Linked DNA regions of Diceros bicornis minor. The protein of the gene in region 1 interacts with the protein of each later gene in a pairwise test. Links are inferred from orthologs where the notes say so. Each region holds a gene or a part of one and is shown on either strand. Other genes may lie near its edges.

What was found. The genes of interacting proteins can lie anywhere in the genome.
Region 2: the proteins of PDE4DIP (region 1) and AIRIM interact in binary tests that used the Homo sapiens proteins (3 or more experiments, as listed by UniProt). The two-hybrid records come from large-scale screens. The link is inferred for Diceros bicornis minor from reciprocal best matches to the Homo sapiens genes PDE4DIP and AIRIM.

Annotation. Positions count from the first base shown.
Region 1 is NC_080743.1:52,078,128-52,088,785, reverse strand, and holds the start of PDE4DIP (myomegalin), read right to left. Parts: upstream 4,040-10,658; coding exon 3,807-4,039; intron 1-3,806. UniProt on the Homo sapiens protein: Functions as an anchor sequestering components of the cAMP-dependent pathway to Golgi and/or centrosomes.
Region 2 is NC_080752.1:51,709,039-51,719,266, forward strand, and holds the start of AIRIM (AFG2-interacting ribosome maturation factor), read right to left. Parts: upstream 4,621-10,228; 5' UTR 4,325-4,620; intron 4,127-4,324; 5' UTR 4,124-4,126; coding exon 3,849-4,123; intron 1,794-3,848; coding exon 1,614-1,793; intron 1-1,613. Other genes in the region: CDCA8 (borealin), read left to right, coding at 5,054-5,150, 5,290-5,418, 6,918-6,958. UniProt on the Homo sapiens protein: Part of the 55LCC heterohexameric ATPase complex which is chromatin-associated and promotes replisome proteostasis to maintain replication fork progression and genome stability.

The DNA.
Region 1 (10,658 bases):
TTAAAAAGTTAAACATACGCCTACTCTTCTACTCCCAGAAATTTACCCAAGAGAAATGAAAGCATATGCACACATAAAGACTTGTACACCAATGTTCATAGCAACTTTATTTGTAATAGCCAAAAAACTGGAAACAACTCAACAACTGATGAATTAATAAACAAATTGTGGCATATCCATACAATGAAATACTACTCAGCAATGAAAGAAAATGGGCTACTGATACTGTCAATAGCATGGATAAACCTCAAAATAACTACTCTGAGTAAAAGAAGCCAGGCAAAAGCAAAGAGTACATACTGTATGTACCCATTTATATAGAATTCTAGAAAATGCAAACTAACATATAGTGACAGAAAGATCAGTGGTTGTCTGTGTGTTACTAGGGCAGGAAGAGACAGGAGGGAGGGATTATAAAAGAGCAGAAGGAAACTTTTTGGGATGATGGATATGTGATAATTTCACAGATATATACATATATCAAAATTTTTCAAATCGTGCACTTTAAATTTGCCCAGTTTATTGTATATCAATTATATCTCAATAAAGCAGCAAAAAATAATAATAACAAAAGGAGAGATGGCTAAAGAGACACAATGGTTGACGTTTGATGTTAGAAATTGACTGAACCTTCTCCAACATCATTCCCCCTGACAGTTGTCTGCTGGTTCCAGGCTATCCACCTAGAATGTGCAATCTGCTAGGCTTCAAAAGTACACACTGAGGCAGACTGCCATCAGCAACTCACTTAATTCCTCTTTTTAAATAGCTGTATACTTGAAAGAGGATCATCTTTGAATTAAATCCTCATAGAAAAGTGCTGTCCCAGTGTGGGTCTCACTTCAATAAGGCATTTTCTCAGGGCCATACATCTGCTTGTATCCCTGGGCTAAAATTTGCCTTCCCCTCAACCCTGACTTCATTATCTTACTAGGCCACACAAAGTTCTTCTCCTGAGTGTGTGAAGCCCTCTCTGATCCACTGTCCCTTAGCACCATATCCAGTTGCCACTAACTACCTGGTTCATATTGCCAGGACATAGGGGCTGTAACAAGGTCCCCCAATCCCACTTCCCTATCCCTGTCATGAATTTTACCTAGGGCAAGTACGCTCACCAAGCTATGGTGAAGACAAACTGGTTCAGAGAAGAGATGTGCAGACACTTGAAACAGACACAAGGATTCCCCAAGCCAAACAGACTATGACCTGGTTGAAAATATTAGCATGTCAGAGACAGAAAAAAGGTGTATGTGAGAAGAGAGTTTGATCATTAGTGACACACCATCCAGGGAAGGAAGAACCCATTTGTATCCCTTGATACTCTGTTTGAAGCTTTAAAGTGTTTTTTAAAATTTAGAATTCACTGATTAATCCCCTTTGTTCTAAATTCAAGTTTCACAAACAATCTTGTGGTTCTAATTTGGCTTCTGAATGTGGCAAGTATGCCCAGAGACCTCACTGAAATAACAAAAGAGGGTCTAATTCTCTAAGATGTTAGAATCTTCATTATAAATTAATAATTTGCCTTCCTGGGTTTATATCATAGTCTCGTGGATTTGTTGAATATCAGTGTGAGAAACAGACTCAACAAGTTAAAGACCAGATTCTCACATACTTTCCAAGATAAGGCCACCTTGTATGGCTTCTTGGGACACAGTCAGCCAGCCTTCCCCAGAGATATTCTTTTATTTACTTATTTTTTATTTCCACAGTCCATCTTTCTGTTACAGCACTTACTCCATACTATACATAGTTAGATGAGCATAGTTTAGAACTACAGAGTCTCAGGTACCTGAGGGTAGTTTTGGATCCAGTTTTGTACTGGCCTCCACCAGCACTGCTCAATAAATAACACTGAATTAAATTGAATCTGGATAGTGTGCAGAGTTGCTTTCTTTCATTTTTTAGTTGATTGGGAGTTAGAAAATTGGATACCAAAAACACTCCTTCCCAAGTACAAGCCTCTAATTCTCATAAACCTCTAATATTATAGTTAAGACACGTATGTTTTTAAAAGTACGCTGCACATTCCTGGAGACTTGATTTTTAAATGAAGGTCAGAGTAGCACCAACCTCAGTGAAGTCCCTGACACTGTTTCCTTTGAGAATTCCTGAAATGTTTAAAAACATTTCAAGGCTCGTCATTACATCAACTAAGATGAATGTAGAGGTTTGTCAGATGAGTAACTATTAATGAAATAATTAAAGCATGCTATTTATTTTAACAATTAAACCACAATTTAGAGAACCAAATTCTAATCCTACAAACTTTTTGTTACCAAAGACAGTAAGAAAAATCACACCTTTATGATAAGAAGTCACGATCCACTTAAAATTTTGCAATGGTAATGCTTCTTTTGATGAAAGGAGGTCACCCCAGTGTAGATAAAGTAGTTAAGAAGATTTTAAATTATAAATATATATTCAGATTAAATTTTTTTGTTTCAAGCTTTAAAAAAACTCCAAAGTACTCTGTAAAAAATATTCAACACCCCATAGATAGATATGTTAAAAAAAAAAGTACTTATATTTAGGCTAAAATTTCACTTTATAAAAAATCAAATAATGAATACTTCTTGCTTCATTCCTTCTTAAAAGCAGTAATTTATTATGGATTTCTTAATAGAAATGTGATTCCTTTAAGCACTGTTAACTGAATGTTTGATTCAGTCTTCTCAAATAAACAGTGGACAGTATGATGAATCAATACAATTAAGTGGCTGTAAATAAACTTGTTTCCTAGTTCACAAATAAAGCATAGTTCTGAACACAGAATACAGATTCCATTAATATTTAGTTCTGTAATAAATACTCAAAAGATCCAAATCCTGATTTTACACATAGGAAACTGAGGCCTAGAGAAATGAGTAACTTTTTTCAGATCCCAGTTAGTTAAGGGCAGCTTAGAGACTGAAACCACTATCGCCTTGTAGTTTGTTTCATGGGTACTAGCTTCCCATAAGAGAATAAGCCAAAGATGCTATGACAAGGAAATGCTTATTTCAAAAAAGGCAGCAGCACCATCTGTCTCTTCTCCAAAAAATCGTATGCATGGCAGATTTTCATCCTGCTACTGCTGCGTGAAGACAATTTGGGCCTCATTTGCCCGATCTTCCAAGCCAGAGCAAAGGAAGGGACCTGTTTGGGTGGAGCTTGTCCTGCACAACCTCATCCAGCCAACAGGCAGGGCTCCAGCTCTGTAGGGGAAGAGAGGTAGCCTAGGAAGAAGGGACCGTCACCAACCCCCATCTTGCTGTCTGTATCTAAGATAAATATGAAAAAAAAAATTAAAAAGAGGGTGTAAGAGAAGGCAGTGCCTACTCTTTCAAATGTACTCCCATGCACATTTCCTGATCCTTTATCTCCTTTTACTATCCCTAATGCTTCCACCCTGACATGGCCTTCTGAATCATGTATTCATCTCTCTTTTGACTCCACCCAACAAGCATGGCCTTCAACCTCATCTCCGCCAACAAAGCGGGTGATCTCCACATTAAGCAGAGACCTTGGGATAGAGACTGGGTTTCCCAAGATTTAGTCCGGTACAATCCAGCACCCCATCTTTATTTCTAGGCAACCCTCCACTGTCTCTCCCCCTCCCGTCCCCGCCACCAGCTGCATCACCCCTCACTCCTGGTGCCCTTCAACCTTCTCCAAGCTAATGTCACTTGGCACCAACCCCTCCCAGGCGCCCAGGTCTCCAGCCCCTGGGTCCCAGTCCCAGGAGCGGTTCTCTAGCCCAGCGCAAGGCGCGCCGCCCCTCTCGGCGCAGTCTGCAGCCTCCGGCGCACCCGCGGTGCTCTCACCTCATCCAGGGTGCGGCCGCCGCGACTGCCTCTTCCTCCTCGGCCGCTGCTGCCCAGCTCCCAGCCTGCTCGGGATGCCGTCCTTCCCGGCCGGGAGACCGCCGCGAGGGCTGTGGGGCTTGCGCCGTGTCCCCAGACCAGTAAGGCGCGTGGTGCGCCCGGCGGGATGCGCGGCAGCAGCTGCTGCAGTCGCAGCGGCGGCGGCAGCAGGATCCGCTGTTGGTCCTGTTCATGGATTTCCCGAGCCTGGCCACGCCAGTCCTAGCTACCGTCCCTGCTTGGTTTTCCTACGATCTTCCCGCACTGACAAGGCGCATCCATCGTCTAGGCGTGGATGAGTATTCACACCAGTTGCCACTGTTGTGGTGGAGACCTGGAAGGACTAGGCCTCCTCCGCGCCTGCCTCTGCCACCTGCTCCGCCCAGATTGCCTCTGTCCCTCTCCCACAAACATCCGCCGCTGCCTCTTCACCCTCTATCATCTCCCCATTCTCTCTCCACCTACTACCCCCACGTGGAGAGCTTTTCTTTCCCAGACTTCATTCTTTATTTTTCCTATCCGTTCTATTGTCACCATCCTCAATTTCCAACCTCAAGAACTTTCTCCTTTTCTCATTTCCTCTCTCCGTATTTTCCCAGTTTTTGTTCTCCTCCTCCCTCAAAAGCAGTCATCCTCTTGTATTATCCTCTCCTCAGAATCACTACTTCTCCAGGTTGTTGGCTAGCCTCTTTTCTCCCTCTTTCCCGCCTTCTCCTCCTTTTAAAATCTTCTTTTCAATTTTCCCTTTAGTTATTGTAAAAACCTTTCTCCTAAACAACCTCAGTTTTCCTTTCAGTTGAGGCCTTCTGATTGCCATTTTTCATGAAGAACTCATAGTAAAATATATATAGCTTGGTATCCACCATCAAGTCAAGGGTATGTTTTCATGGTTAGAAAAAAGTTCATAGGTCAAATAAGTCCTCCACTAAATGTTTGTTCTGAAAACCGTTTTCTTATATTCCAGTGTCCTCTAAGAATGGAAGCTAGTGAGTCTCCAGCAAAGCAGAATGCTTCTACTACACTATTCTATATGGCACAAAGCCTGCAAGGGAGAAGCTTTATCTTTGTGGTGGGTACTATCGATCCCAATGTTGATAGGCAATATAGTCACTATTGTTGATTGACTCGATGTGAACTGTGAAAATTAATAAAGGGAAACCTCATTTAAAATGGAGTTGGGAGGCTGGGAGGGGGAGCTGCCATGCAGTACCATTGAAGGTCAATTACAGAAAAGTCAATTATAGACCTCAACAGAAAGAAGTCAACAGGAAAGCACCGTCAATTACAGGAAGAAATGTAATTGGATCCCAAACAGAAATGGACTACCCCAGCAACTTAGCCAATGAGAAACTCTCAATGTCCTGAACTCTTGCTTTTCCCCAGTGAAGTGTCCTTCAAAACAATCCCTCCCATTTTCCTCCTTTTTCTCTATAAAATAACATTCCTCTCTCTTGTTTGTTGGATTTGCCAATGGTCCGCTATAGCATGCCCATTCCAAATTGCAATTCTATGACTATTCCCAAATAAATTCATTTTTCTGGTAAAATAACTGGCTGTTTTATTTTTAAGGTTAACAGAACAAAGCTGAACTCACCCTTAATTTATTTTTCCTTCCAAATATGCTGTTCAGTCTTGTTTTTTTTTAACCCCCACACTACCATCAACCCAGTGGCTCAAGCCTCAAACCTGGGAGTCACTTGAGACTTGTCTCTCTCACTTATCCATCTCATCCAGTTTTTAATTCCACTTCTTTACTATTTCTTTATCTTTAAGTGGTCGCCCCCATCATGATTCCAACTGCCTCTTGGAAATAACGCTATCTAGTGTCTCATCAAGTATCTCATTATTCTTTCTTTCAAACCTCCTAACTTAATCTATATCTTTACCTCTCTTTCTTTCCAATCTATCTTCCCTGGGCAGTTTACCCTACCGCTCTCATCTCTACTTAGAAAGTGTTAATTATCTTTTGTTGTCTTTATATTTTTGGCCTCCCATTCTCCATTAGCTCCATCCCCAGCCTATAAAGACGCTCAAGTCTCCTCATCCCTAAAACAAAGTTCTTCCACCTCTAACCACCGTCATAGCTCTCACTTCCCTTCATAACCAGTTTGCTTAAATACATTGTATTCATTTGATGTCTATACTTCCTGACTTCCATTCATTCTTTACCACCTAATTCTTGGCAGTCGGGCTTCTAATCCTATTACTTAGCTGAAGCTGCTCTCCTAGCTGACTCAGACTTTGGCTTTGCCCACAGACGAGTAGTAGATTTTATATAATACACAAATTAAAAGGAATGGGTTCATTAATTTAAAGAGAATATGCCATCTTCGTTAGTTGAGGCAGACAAACAGTTCATCGAAATTACCACAAACCCAAAAGCTAAGAAGTGCTGAGACTTCCAGTTCCAGCCAAAATGGAGGAGCATGTATCAGATTAACTTTTTCCTCCTGGGCAAGGGGAGTGGAATTGCATAGAATATATAAATATTAATAAATATATAAATACTATATATATTTAAATATAGGAAAATACAAAAACAAGTCTTGGAAGGCATTGAGGAGTAGCCAAAGCAAACAGGAATCCAATCTATGATCCTTGAGAGAAGAGAAGCACATGAGGTGAGCTCCATATTCACCCTGGGATTTTTCTCCTGAGAGAATTTTACAAATCAGGTGCTAGAGAATAAAGGCCAAGTACAAGATGGCAGTATTACTGGGCTAAAGAGACAAAGGTGAAAGTTCAGGGCTGCCAAAGTGGCTGGGACTTGAGGGAGAATCCCCAGAGAGGGGAGAATGGCAGAGAAGCAGCTCAATAATCTGGGTACAAATTCCCCTCAGAATAGGGGCCAGTTCCTAAGCCCAGCATGCACAAAGCAAGATGCCAGAAAACAGCAGTATGGAGCCTAATGAGCTAAGAAGAGATTTCAGCATCTAACACAAGTTGGACTTCAAGCCTGTCCAAGGTAGAGAGACACCCAGGGCTTTCAGCTGATACCCAAAAAGGCCACACTATTAGAGTAAGGGCAATACAGTACTGAAATAGAATAGGTCTAACAAAGCTTAAAACCACGTCTTTACAGGATCAAACTGATCTGCCAGTATTCTTTCTGCATACCAGAACAAAACTGAACTCTTGGGAGTTGAATAACATTATCCATAGCCTCTACAATTTTTTCATCCACAATGTCTAGGATCCAAGATAAAATTATGAGGCATTCTAAAAATCAAATCCAAGTGACTAACCACTAAGAGAAAAATTAATAGAAACAGACCTGGATATTAGAGTTGACAGGACTTGAAATAACTATGACTAATAGGTTTAAGAAAATAGAGGAAGAAATGAGCAATGATGTAAAATGGATAATTTACTTCAATATAGAATTGGAATCTATAAAAAAATCAGATGGAAATTCTGAATATAAAAATTACAATAACTGAAAATAAGAGCCCATTGGGTGTGTTTCCAGCGGTCTGAATACAGCAGAAGTCAGGATTAGTGAAGTGGTAGGTAGGTCAATAGAAAATTCCAAAATGAAGGACAGAAAAAAGAAGAGAAAAAAGAGCAGAGCATAACAGACATGTGGAATACAGTCAAAAGATAAAATATATGTGTAATTACAGTCTCTGAAAGAGAGGAGAGCGTGAGTGGGCTAAAAGCAATATCCCAGGAGATAAAGACTAAGAATTTTCTAAAACTGATGAAAGATATTGCCTTCTTAGATTCCAGAAGTTCAGTAAACCCCAAGTAGAATAAAAAACCAATATATCTCGGAAATATTAGAAGCAGTTTCAACTCAGAAATGTGCTGAAGACAATTCTCCAGCTGAAATAAAGTAGGGAATCTTGATCAGGAGGCAGGTTTCATAGGCCTAATCAGTCTCATAGCGTTTACACAGTGGCTGGAGTCACTGTGCAAGGGCTGAAAATGAACACGCACAAGAGAATATGAAAATTATGTCACTAAACAGAGCCTACACTCAAATCAGCCCTTGGGTGTCAGGAAAAAAGGGGGAAATGGAAATTAATAGGTTTTGATTATGCTGGTGGAAAACCAAAATCAATAAGCTCATTAAAACATAGTTAGTAACCGGAAAAAAAGACTGCCAACCTTTAAATTGCTAAATTTTATAACAAGGCAGGAAAATCTCAAGTGTCCTTCCCTGAAAGAGGAAACAATTTGTATAGGTGATTCCCACCTCCATTTGTCATGTATTAAACACAGCACAATAATTAACCTCATCATGGGAAACATTTCTCTCAATTGAGACTATGTTTACAAGTCATAGGTTCAGATAACTGGCATAAAATGATTGGTAAGCCAGAGAAGCTAAAACTGAAAAGGTTTTCTCTTCTTTCTCTACTCTTGATGCTGAGTTTCTGCTACGCTGTTCAGAAACAGCTATGTGGTTCTGACATATCCCAAGTAGTACACTGGCTTCTGATAACACCATTTTGTTTGGGTAGCTCTATGGCCTTGGAATTTACTTTTTAATTTTAATGTTTTGGCTTAATTAAATTAGTATTAATTTAATATTTTGATAATTTAATATTAAGTGTCCTATTATGTTTTGGATTGTTTGAAAGTAAGAAACATCAGAAATTTTGATTGAATCAATTCAAATTGAAGATACTGAAGAAATTTTCCAGTGAAAACAGCTCAGCCTTACAGCTGATGAAAGAATCCTGATTCTACCCAGGCACCTGTTTAAGAACAATGCTGGCTGAGCCTAAGTATAATAAGTAGTTGGGAAATAATGATTTTTGCATTTTAATTTCTGTGAACTTCACAGAGTCTGGATTTTCTATGCAGTTTACTTTACAAAGAGAAGGAGAGTTAATCTCCCAACTGAAAATTTGATAATGAAAAAAGACTAATATCCTAATTTGAAGTATCTTCTGATATTGTATAATTTTAGTGTCTTTCTCTTGACATTTTATTTCATTACATGTTTTTAGTATACTGTATTAGACAACATAACAAGTTAATAGTTTAACCTGGTAAATGGAATAGGAAATAGTAGCGATTATATCTATTGGCCTTACTTACAGTCAGGCTTTGGAATTAATTTAATTAATGTACTAGCTTGACCTATTTCAGAGCCTCTGAGCATAAAAACTTAACTATCCTCCTGTGGTTTTCAGAGTGGGGCTACCTGAAGTTGGGGACAGAATTGTCCTAATTAGACTGCTCTCTCCCCCTCAAGAAGAGAGCCAGCCTCTGGTTTAACAAATGGTAAAGCCCAACTGGCTGAGAAAACAAAAAGCCTGAAAATATTAGGAGGGAATTTCTTTGCTCCAGTGCTCCTCTTTCCATAATGGAGAAACTTCCATTCAGACGCATTTTGGGGTGACACTCCTTGCTCTTTCTCATCCCTTTCACTTATTATTCCTCTGGGAAAGAGTGATTGATCTGATTCATGATTTTTTGTTATTGTTTTATTGTTTTATTCATATTTTTATTTTTTCAATGAGGACATGGCCCTTCACTAACATCTGTTGCCAATCCTCCTCTTTTTGCCTGAGGAAGATTGGCCCTGAGCTAACATCCATGCCAGTCTTCCTCTGCTTTGTATGTGGGTTGCTGCCACAGCCTGGCTTGATGAGTGGTGTAGACCCACACCCGGGATTCAAACTCAGGAACTCCGGGCCGCCAAAGCGGAGTGCGCCAAACTTAACCACTATGCCACCAGGCTGGCCCCTGTTATTGTTTTGTTTTGTTTTTTAATTTTAGTAACAATGAATTTGTTTTAGTTTTTTGTAACAATAAATTTGTTTTAAAACAAGACTACAATATTTGACATAAAGTATATTTTTAAAAACTCTAAAATGAGAAAGATAAAAAGAGCCCATAGGACCACACCCATTAGGATGGCTCCTGTCAAAAACAAACAACCCCAAATATAACAAGTCTTGGCCAAGATGTGGAGAAATTGGAACCCTTGTGTACTGCTGGTGGGAATGTAAAATGGTGCAGCCGCAATGAAAAACAATATAGTGGTTCCTCAAAAAATTAAAAATAGAATTATCTTATCCAGCAATCTCACTTCTAGGTATATACCCAAAAGAACTGAAAGCAGGGTTTCAAAGAGATATTTGTGCACCCATTTTCATAGCAGCATTATTCACAATAGCCAAAAGGTGGAAGCAACTCACTTGTCTAACAATGGATGAGTCAAAAAACAGAATGTGGAAGATTATTCAGCTTTAAAAAGGAAAGAAATTCTGATAAATGCTACAACATGGATGAACATTGAGGACATTATGCTAAGTGAAATAAGCCAGTCACAAAAAGACAAATACTGTATGATTCTACTTATGAGATACCTAGAGTAGTCAAAAAATCATAGAGACATGTGATGGTTAATTTTATATGTCAACTTTACTGGGCCACAGCATTTCCAGATATCTGTTTAAGCATTATTTCTGGATGTGTCTGTGAGGGTGCTTCTGGAAGAGATTAGCATTTGAATCAGTGGACTGAGTAAAGTAGATTGCCCTTCTCAATGTGGGTGAGCATGATACAATCCTTTGAAAAGCCTGAATAACACAAAAAGACAGAGGCAGGTTGAATTCTCTCTCTCTGCCTACCTGCTTGAGCTGACATGTACACCATCGGTGCTCCAGTTCTAGGCCTTCAGACTTGGACTGGAACCATACTACTGGCTTTCCTGGATGTCCAGCTTGCAGATGACCATTCTAACAGGTGTGTAGAGGTATCTCATTTTTGTTATATTTTGCAATTACCTAATGACATATGATGTTGGCATCTTTTCATATGCTTATTTGCCATCTGTGTATCTTCTTTGATGAG
Region 2 (10,228 bases), on another chromosome or scaffold:
GGAGTGAGGTCACCAGCTGGGACGGCTCAGAGGGAAAGAACCTAGAGGCAGAGAAGCCTGGCAAGACGCTGCGTGGGGTCACGGGTCCCAGTGAGAGGTAAGAAACTACGGAAGAGGCAGTGGGGATAGAGAAGAAAATACAAGAAGCGCCAGAGAAACAGAATCAAAGAAGCTGACAAGTGACTGTGCAAATATTCTTAGAACAGCAGCTGGCACGTAAGTGCTCAGTAACGTTAGCGCACCTCCTGCTCTGACTGCGCACACTGTTGTACCCACCACCACCACTGCTGCTGCTGCAATTAAAAGAGAAAACAGGAAAAGGGGGAAGATGCTGCTTAAGTTTCCAGACTGGGTGCCTAGACAGGCAAGATCCTACCACTGAGGGAAAGGGAGTGGAATGTGAGGGCCAGATGGAGAAGCTCAAGGTTAAATCTGAGTTTGCAGTTCTGTGGGCAATCCAGTTAGAGGCAGCTGCAGGAAACTGAAAATCAGGACTAGAGACAAGAATAAAGGTTGGATTTGGGAGTTACTCAAATGAAGTAGAAACTTAAGCCAGAGGGTAGATGCGGGTATCAGGCGAAAATAGAGAGAAAAAGGCCAGAACTCTAACCAACTGCTCTTGCCGCCTCCATCCTTGCCCCCACCACCCCAAGTCTTTCCTCAGAACACAGCCAGGGTGATACTGTTAAAAACGTGGTTTTGATTATGTTATTCCTCTACTTAAAACCTTCCAACAGGGGCTGGCCCCGTGGCGTAGCGGTTAAGTGCGTGCGCTCCACTGCTGGCAGTCCAGATTCAGATCCCGGGCGCGCACTGATGCACCGCTTGTCGGGCCATGCTGTGGCTGCGTCCCATATAAAGTGGAGGAAGATGGGCACAGATGTTGGCCCAGGGCCAGTCTTCCTCAGCAAAAAGAGGAGGATTGGCATGGATGTTAGCTCAGGGCTGATCTTCCTCACAAAAAAAAAATACAAAAAAACCCACAAACCTTCCAACAGCTTTCCATCTCACTCAGAGTAAAAGCCAAAGTCCTTTCAAAGAGCTTCGAGGCCCTACGAGGTCCCACCCCATCTCTCTGACCTCATCTCGTTAGGCTCCCACTCCTCACCCTGCTCTACCCACTGGCCTTCTTGCTATTTCCTGAACCTAGGGCATGCTCCACCTCAGGGCCTTTGCACTTGATGTTTCTTCTGCCTGGAACACTCTTCCTCCAAATATCCACATGCCTCCCTCCCTCGTCCTTTTCAGGTCCTTTCTCAAACGTCACTTTCTCAGTGAGGCCTGCCCTGAGCACCCTATTTAAAATCACAACCCCAGCCTCATCCCTCACCTTCCCCACTTTATTTTTCTCTATAGCACTTATCACCATTTGACGTTCCATACACTTTCCCTTTGGAATGCCTATCTCCCAGCACCTGGAACAATGCCTGGAAGGTAGTCACTCAATAAATGATTTGAGGAATGACTGGACGAAGGAATGCAGGAAGAATCCAAGATCAGGAATCAAAGAGAACTGACCCACACCATATAGTTTTGTAATCTTGTGGAAACTGAAACTAAAAAGCCTTCCTGGAACAACTCTGAACACTACCTGAAACATGTGCAAAGGATACGAATGTCGATAATGTCTCTCAATATCCTGCAACCATTCCAACATGTCGGCCACAGAGGGGCTCACAACGGAGGCCTGCAGGGCGGCATCAATGCCGATCGCGTCTGCACGCTGCACATAGATCTGAAGCACGCGTTCCACGTGGCTGCTGACTGTGTCTCGCACCTTGAGGAGGGCAGCTCTGGGGGAAAACGTCTGGTATTAGGCAACACCATGAGGAAGGCCTTGGCACACTGACATTCTGGACCAGGTGATTCTTTGTGGTGAAGGGCTGCTCTCCACATTGTAGGATGTTTAGCAGCATCCCTGGCCTCCGCCCACTAGATGACAGGAGCAAACCACAGCTCTACCTTCCCCAAGTTGTGACAATCAATAATGTCTCTACATATTGCCAAACGTCCCAACCCACAAAACTGCCTCCAAACGAGACCAACTGGTCTAAGATTAGTGATGGTGCCTTGGAGGTAGGGGTGGCTCAAAAATTAAGAATTGACTTAAAGATAGAGAGGCTGAAGAAGTTACATGGCTCTCAAAACTGTATGATAAGCCCAGTTGCTAAAGAAAGTAAAGACCAAGGGGCCTTTCCGGGGCTGCCATAAAACCACATGAAGAGAGCAAATGCTCACCCACAGTCCCATGCCCCGTATGTGAAAGGCAATAAGCAAGAGGAAACCAAGGCAACCAACCAGCACTGTTCACACGCTAGTAAATTCTTGAACGGTAAAGTCTGGGCTCTGGATGCACAGAGACTACTATGGATCTTAAGAAAGTCACTTATTCTCAATCATGTATAAAAATGTTGTGTTGTGCTCACTGCACAACCTAAGGTACCTAGAACATCGGGACTGGGTCACAAAACAACAAACACTTATTCAATGAAGGAATGAATGAAAAGGATTATTATGAAGCGCTTGAGGGAGTGCCTAGCCTATGGTAAATATTGTTATTTTTCCATTGGTGACTCCAAGGGGCCCAGCCACCAAGATGAAGGCTACAACTTCCCAAAGGGCAAGGCATTCCCTAGCCTAGAATTGTGGCTTTCAAATATGTTTGACCTTGACTCACGATTAAAAAATAGACTTACAATAACAGCCCAATACCCACACACAAATATGTAATCAATTGAAATAAAAGTTCACGATTTTTCGAACGTACCACAACATAACTTAATTGAGTGACTGTCTATCTCTTCCACTCAGCTAAGGAATACGTCTGGTTCATTGTATTCCCAGGACCCTGTGCCTGGCATCCCACAGGGGCTTAATATATTTTGTACAAGTGAATACAAAGAAGGTCCTCATCTTTGACAGACGGTTTCCTATCAGTCTATGGCACAAACTCTATACACTAGAACCTTGTTTTGTTCTGGTCAAGGAAAGCCATATGTGCTCTGGCTCTTCTCTATCCTCAATTACCTAGGACTCTAAGATAGACGGTCTAACATCAGGCATAAGAAGAGCTTAGAGATGTGCCACTCCCAGGAAGAGAGACATCAGTGTACCACAGAACAAAGTGGTGGTTACGAGCTCCAGCCTTGGTGTCAGGCACATTTCGGTTGGAGTCCCAGCTTTACTATTTACTAGCTGTGCGACCACAGGCAATCTGCCTGAGCCTTTTTCCTCGCCTGCAAAACAGTATTAAGTGAAGTTAAGTCACACAGGTGCCGAAAAGATTTTATGAGATAATGCTTATAAAACCGTTAGCTCTAGCACCTACTGTTTCCAGTATAGCTCTCATTGCTCTTTTTTTTTGGAGGAGGAGCACTGGTGAGGAAGATTGGCCCTGAGCCAACATCTGTGCCAATCTTCCTCTACTTTGTATGTGGGTCGCTGCCACAGCCTGGCTTGATGAGTGGTATAGGTCCATACCTGGGATCCGAACCCACGAACCCCAAACCTGGGCTGCCACAGCAGAGTGCGCTGAACTTAACCACTATGCCACCAGGCCAGCCCCTCCTCACTGCTTTTTACCAAAGAAAACTATAGAGAAGGGTTAATAAGCCTTCTTCATTGCTTTTCTGTTCCGCTTTTGTAACTTCTACTAAGTCCACCACTGCCATGCCTAGCCTGAAAACGGAAATGCCAGAAAATGGCTTTTTGACAGAGGTCTCAAAGCAACAGATGGAAAGGATGAGACACCCCCAAAAATCACGCTCTCAAGAAGAAAAACACCCTTCTGACCGATCCGAGCTACTTATAAAACATCCTCCAAGAAAGAGCGCCATCGAGCCTCTTACAGCCTCTCCCCTAGCTTGTCCATGACAGTGTCACCAGCCGCCAGCTGCTTGCGCCTGAGCCGCTCCTTTAAATCTGGGAAGGCTCGAAGTGACGGCACATCCTCGAATCTCAGGTTCTCAGCCGCCTGCAGCTGCTCGGCCAAGTTGCTGAGGGAGGCCAGGAGGGGCTGGCAGTCCCGTAGGGTGCTCTGCCACAGGCCCTGCTGCTCCTCCACCACGGGAAAGCACTTCCTCAGGGCCTCCTGCACAGCAAGCAAAGGCTGGTCTTGAGTCATCTTCTGTTGGGAGAAAAAAAGAAACCAGAAAGAAAACAACAGCATTAGGGTCCCCAGTAGGTAGGGGAAGTACCGGGTCAAGGGTGGGAGTTATTTCCGTTCTCAGGCGAGGTCCATCTACACCAGGGTTTCTATCTTGGCAGGTAGGGCGGGCTGTCTATCCTTTCCGACAGGAGCTCCCGGCGCGAGGCCTTGTCTTACCTCTAGAGGGGCTCTCGGGAGGCAGATCCTTGTTTCCCACCTCGGGAACGGTTTCCTGACTCTCCCACGGAGGAGGCTCGTCCCTGGCTAGGGCAGTCTCCTGCTTTAGACTGCGGATTCCCGGGACCGAAGCCCGGTCTCCCACGCCGGACCCGTGCTTCCAGAGCAGGAATGCTGTCTCCTCTCCTTGAGACTGCCAGTCGTTGTCCCTAAACCTGCGAGAACACTTGAAGCAAGGCAGAGCCGGACAACCCGGTAAAGCCACCACCTTGCGCCCGCAGCTTCTCTACGCATGCCCCAACGCGGCTACTGAGTCGCGAAAATATGTCGTCAGCCGCAATGCCTTCTGGGTGCTGTAGTCCTACGTGTGGACTGGCTGCCTGAGCACAGAGCTTCCTTGTGATTGGATGTTGTGGAACCCTCCCAAGACGGCGACTTCTCATTGGTCAGCCTGTGGCAGTTTGAATTTGGTGGCGGCGGTCGCACGTCCGGTTGGCCGCGGAGCCGCTCCCTCTCAGCTGGAGCGGCGAGGTTTTTCAGCCCTTGTTTCTCGACCTGCAGGTATGTGCCTTTTAAGTCCTGGCCCCTAGGGCAGGGGTCCCCCTTCTAGCCCCCTAGGGCGCCCGTCCGCCCTCTCCCGCCACTTCGCGACCCCTTTCCCTCCCCCATCTCCGCCGCTGACCCCTTCTAGCTCGGTTCCCCGCTCCCCGCAGCCTCCACCGAAGCGCCATGGCTCCGTCTAGGAAGGGCAGCAATCGAGTAGCCAAGACTAACTCGCTACGGAGCCGGAAGCTCGCCTCCTTTCTTAAGGACTTCGACCGTGAAGGTGAGGGGCGGACCCCTGGTCGTCGCGGCTACCGGGGGCGATCGCGGGGCGCTGGCGGGTTGGGGCGCAGGCAGCACGGATTCGAGGCCCCATTGACCCGCTCGGTGACCCGTGTCCTGTCGGCTCTGCCCTCTCGCAGTGCAAATACGATCCAAGCAAATTCAGTCAGACAGGCAGAACCTCCTCAAGGAGTTGGATAACCTGTACAACATCGAGATCCTGCGGCTGCCCAAGGCGCTGCGCGAGATGAACTGGCTGGACTACTTCGGTAAGAGCTGCTGGAGTGTGCCCAGGCCTCGGTCTGGAGCCCCTCTGTGGTTATCGTGACCAGTGAGGTCTTCCATGATCACTATAGGAAACTGCAGCACCCCCACCTCCCCTTTTTTAATATACATATTTTATCCAACTATTTAAAAACGAATGAATGAGTAACTTGATTTGCTACCAGAGTTCGGGTGGAAGGATAACCCCAAGCAGTGCTTTCTGCATCTTATGGAAATTGCCAATTTAAAAATGGGCAAATCGAATTGTGAAGTGCAAGGACCTGAGAGTTTTCCTGGCCAGAGAAAAATCCCAGCCTGTTCCCCACCCCCTTGTTAAATGTCCAGGGAAATGCAAGAGGCTGTCCTTTCTGCTGGATTACCCTTTTTCTGTTTTGCTTATTGTTAATTACACAGCATGTAGCCTCTTTCCTGGGTAGAAATGCCTGTTCTGCTCAAATAGTAGACATTTAATGATTCTTTTGATTCGCTGTTTTATTTAGTAATCTTGTTTACACATTTCTACAAATATTCATTGAGCGTGTGTGTCAGTAACAAGGCTGGATGCCCTGAGGAATAAAACAGACATCGTCCCTACTCTCAGGAACTGACAAGTTAGTAGAGAAGGATCATTTAAAAAATTCACACAAGGTTATATAATGAAAATTAGTCAGTAAGCACATTTGTATAGTGCTTCCTATGCCAGACAGGCATTGTACCAAGTGTTTTGCATATATTAACTAATTTTGTCCTCATAATGACCATATTCATTATTAATATTGTCCCTATTTTATGGATGACAAGGTTAAGGTGCAGAGAGATTGGTTACTTTGCTCAAGGTCTCATAAACCAGTTGGGGGCAGTCTGTCTGAACGCAGGCATTCTGGTTTTGAAACCTGAGTTTTTAACTATTATAGAATACTAGGAGTATTTCTAGCGGGAGGACCTAACCTCACTTTTTGTTCTACATCTAAATCTTGCAGAGACCCTTTCATTCAACACACATTTACCACATAGCTACTGTATGACATATTTTTGCAAGAAGCTATGGATATTATCTCTGTCCTCAAAGAATTCAGTTCAGGGCAGGGGTGGACACTTAAACAACTTTGAGTAGTTGTTGGGTATGACGAGAGTGAGCAGCTAACTCAACATGTAGCAATCTGCTGTGATAGCAAAATGGGCAGAGTTCGGGGTCTGGGCTGAGTTTGAAGGATGAATTAGAAGTTTGTCGGGTGCAGAGGAAATCATAAGTACCAGGCCTCTGAGTCATGAGAGGTGGTGGCACATTTGGGAAATAACAGGAACTTTGGTGTGGTGGAACACAGGATAGGTCGTGGAGGGGATGAGTCAAGCTTGGAGGAAGATTAGACTAGATTGTGAAGGTCCTTGAATGTTGGACCAAGGGCTTAATCTGGTCCAGTTTTAGAAAGATAACTGGTTGTATTAGGGAAGATGATTTGTCATTAAGATCTGATAGTAACTAAACAAAATGTTCTTTTTAAAGCTCTTGGAGGAAACAAGCAGGCCCTGGAAGAGGCAGCAACAGTAAGTGACTTGTTTTATTTTTAAACTGTTGGTTAGTTTTTAAGTTTAGTCTGGTCACAAAATCCAACCAGTGGGTGCTTACTGTGGAAGAGGTTCCACAGGGGACACTATCTGTTTGTGTCAGCTGAAAAATTAGAGTCGTCAAATGCTGAGTACATGAAGACCGAATAGTTTTGAGCCCTATGAAGAAAGGCAGTTCTATTTTTGGCAGGTTCTTTGCAGCTCTTTGCCCTGACCTCTGCAGGGGAAGTAGAAAGCCTTAAATCCAAGTTCCTTTAAGCCCCTGGATCATTACACAGTGACTTGGCCTGCTAGGTGACAAAGAGACTGTTGCTTTATCGTGTCAATACCACAGAAGCTGTACTCTTGCTTGAGTCTCTCGGGATTCCCCACCCCCTCTCACTTCCTTCCTCCCAGCATCAGCACCAGGACTGAAGGCAGGAAGATGGGGAAGCAAAATAACACGTTTAGATCTGTACTGTCCATTACAATAGCCACCAGCTACATGTAGCTGTTTAAATTAATTAAAAGTAATAAAATTAAAAGTTAAGTTCCTCAGACACATTAGCTACATTTCAAATGTTCAGTAGCCACGCGTGACTAGTGGCTACCATATTGGACAGCTCAGCAATAGAGCATTTCTACCCTGCAGAAAGTTCTATTGGACAGTGTTGGGAACTAGTCCATAAATGGGTTTCACAGAGACCCTAAACTCTCTAAAATCACACATGAACAATGTGTGTGTTTACATGTATTTGTGTATCTTTCTGGGGAGAAAGTTGATTATGGCCTTCGTCAGATTTACAGATGGAACTGTAGACTCTACATCCATCCAGACTCTACATCCTTCTATGAGTTGATCAGAATCATTTGGAATCGCAGAGTTTGAAGCAATCTAATTACAAAGGGTACATAGTAGCACTGAATAGCAGATCTCCAACCAGCGTCAGAAGTTAAAGGTACTTAGGAGCCAGTTGTTGAATCAGGAAAAAATTAGAGAGCTTGGGGGTGAATCTTGTAGGAGAGAGAGGGCCAGTAACTGAGAAATAAAATCAACAACTAGTAAAACGTTCTTAGTCCCTGCTTTGTCTTTCTTTAATATGTCTCCCCATCCACACCCAGATCTAATGTTTCAGAAGACTTACCTCTGAGATGAATCATAGCTAATGCACCACCCTTTTTTTTAACTAATCAGACATATAGAACCACAGATCAGAGCTTCTAATGTAGTGTGAGACATCCAGTGTCATCACACCAGGTGGAGAGAATTCTAGCGTTAGATAATGTGATTTAAAACTCCGGGAAGAAATGATACTTTGGTATAAAAGCTCTTAGTTGTTAAGTATGTGAGGGCTTCCAAGACTCCCTCCAGGATTGGTAATTGGCTAGGAGGACTCCCAGGGCTCAGCGTATAGTCATACTCATGGCTATGATTTATTACAGTGAAAGGATACAAAGCAAATCAGCAAAGGGGAAGGTGGGTGGGGCAAAGTCCAGGAGACCAGGCTCAGGCTCCCAAGAGTCCTCTCCCAGTGGAGTCACACATGACACGCTTAATTCAACAGGTGTGAAAAGTTGTCTACCAGAGAAGCTCATTAGATACTCAATGCCCAGGGTTTTTGTTGGGGGCTGGTCACATAGGCATCTTCTGCCTAGCATATACCAAAATGCCAGACTTGCAGAAGGAACGCAGGTGTTCAGCATAAACCATGTTGTTTGTACAAAGCTTAGGCACAGTGAGCCATTCTCCTGAGGGAATGGTGGGAACCCTGCAATGCAAGTTCTCATGCCAGCCATGGGCCAGCCATGTAAACAGGCCTTTCTACGGATGTCAGTCTCAGGCCTGTTAACTCTTCTGCACGGTGGGTGGTCAGTGGCCTGCCACCGGTGATACCTTCATAAACATGCCAGTTGTTTCTAGAGATGGCAGAAAGTTGGCCACCACATTCCATTCCATCAGCCACTTCAGACATCACTAATCTATTGCAACACTGTTTCTTACTAAGCTTGGACAGCCTCAGAATCCTTCTCTGAGCACTTCATGTAGTCTCTACTAATCTAGAGGTAAAACCTGGGTCATTCCTAGTCTGTAACAACTCTCTTGTGCCCTGTGAGGAAAGGCCTACGAATCATGACTGCCCTTGGCTATTCCCATACGTATAGGTGTCACCACTGGGAACAAATTTAATTAGAATGGCAACTGGAAGCCTTTTTGAAGGACCCAGGAGCACAATAGAAAACTTTATTGACCCTCTAGACTTAAAAAAAGAAAATGAGGGGCCAGCCCGTTGGCGTAGTGGTTAAGTTTGCGTGCTCTGCTTCAGTGGCCTGGGGTTTGCGGGTTTGGATCCCAGGCGTGGACCTACACACAGCTCATCAAGCCATGCTGTGGCGGCCTCCCACATACAAAATAGAGGAAGATTGGCACAGGTGTTAGCTCGGGGCCAGTCTTCCTCACCAAAAAAAAGAATAAAGAAAGAAAATGAGGGGGGCTGGCCTGGTGGTGTAGCGGTTAAGTGTGTGTGCTCCACTGCAGTCGCCCGAGGGTCCGCAGGTTTGGATCCCGGGTGTGCACCTATGGACTACTTGTCGGGCCATGCTGTGGCAGCATCCCATATAAAGTAGAGGAAGATGGGCACGATGTTAGCCCAGGGCCAATCTTCCTCAGCAAAAAGAGGAGGATTGGCATCGGATGTTAGCTCAGGTCTGATCTTCGTCACCAAAAAAAAAAAACCAAAAAGAAAAGAAAGAATGAAAATGAGAAGTCTGACGCAGCACCAACTGTCGTAGAGAATGTGGGTCATTAGGAACTTGTGTTGTTTGCCCATGGGATGGAAACAAGTGCAACCACTTTGGAAACCAATGAGGCATAACATCAAGGCTGATGTTTGTGCACCCTAAAACCCTGTAATGCTCTATCCCTAAGTATAGAGCCAAGAGATAACTTGGACATGCACATCAGACACGAGTGTAGGACAGTTTAAAGTAGCAGTGTTTGTAACAGCAAAAGACAGTTGACAGGAGATTGGACAAATCCATGGGATATAGTCACACAGTAGGATATTATATAGCAGTGGAAACAAACTGACTACAACCACAAATAGTGGTCAGAAACAAAACCAAACAAAATATTGTTTAAGCACACATAGTTTGTGAAGAAATATATATACACACACACACACACACACCATACACAGACATTTTCTTTTAAGCAAGTGGAATAATAGTGGTTGTCTCTGGGGAATGACAGAGTTAGGAGACTGGTCACCT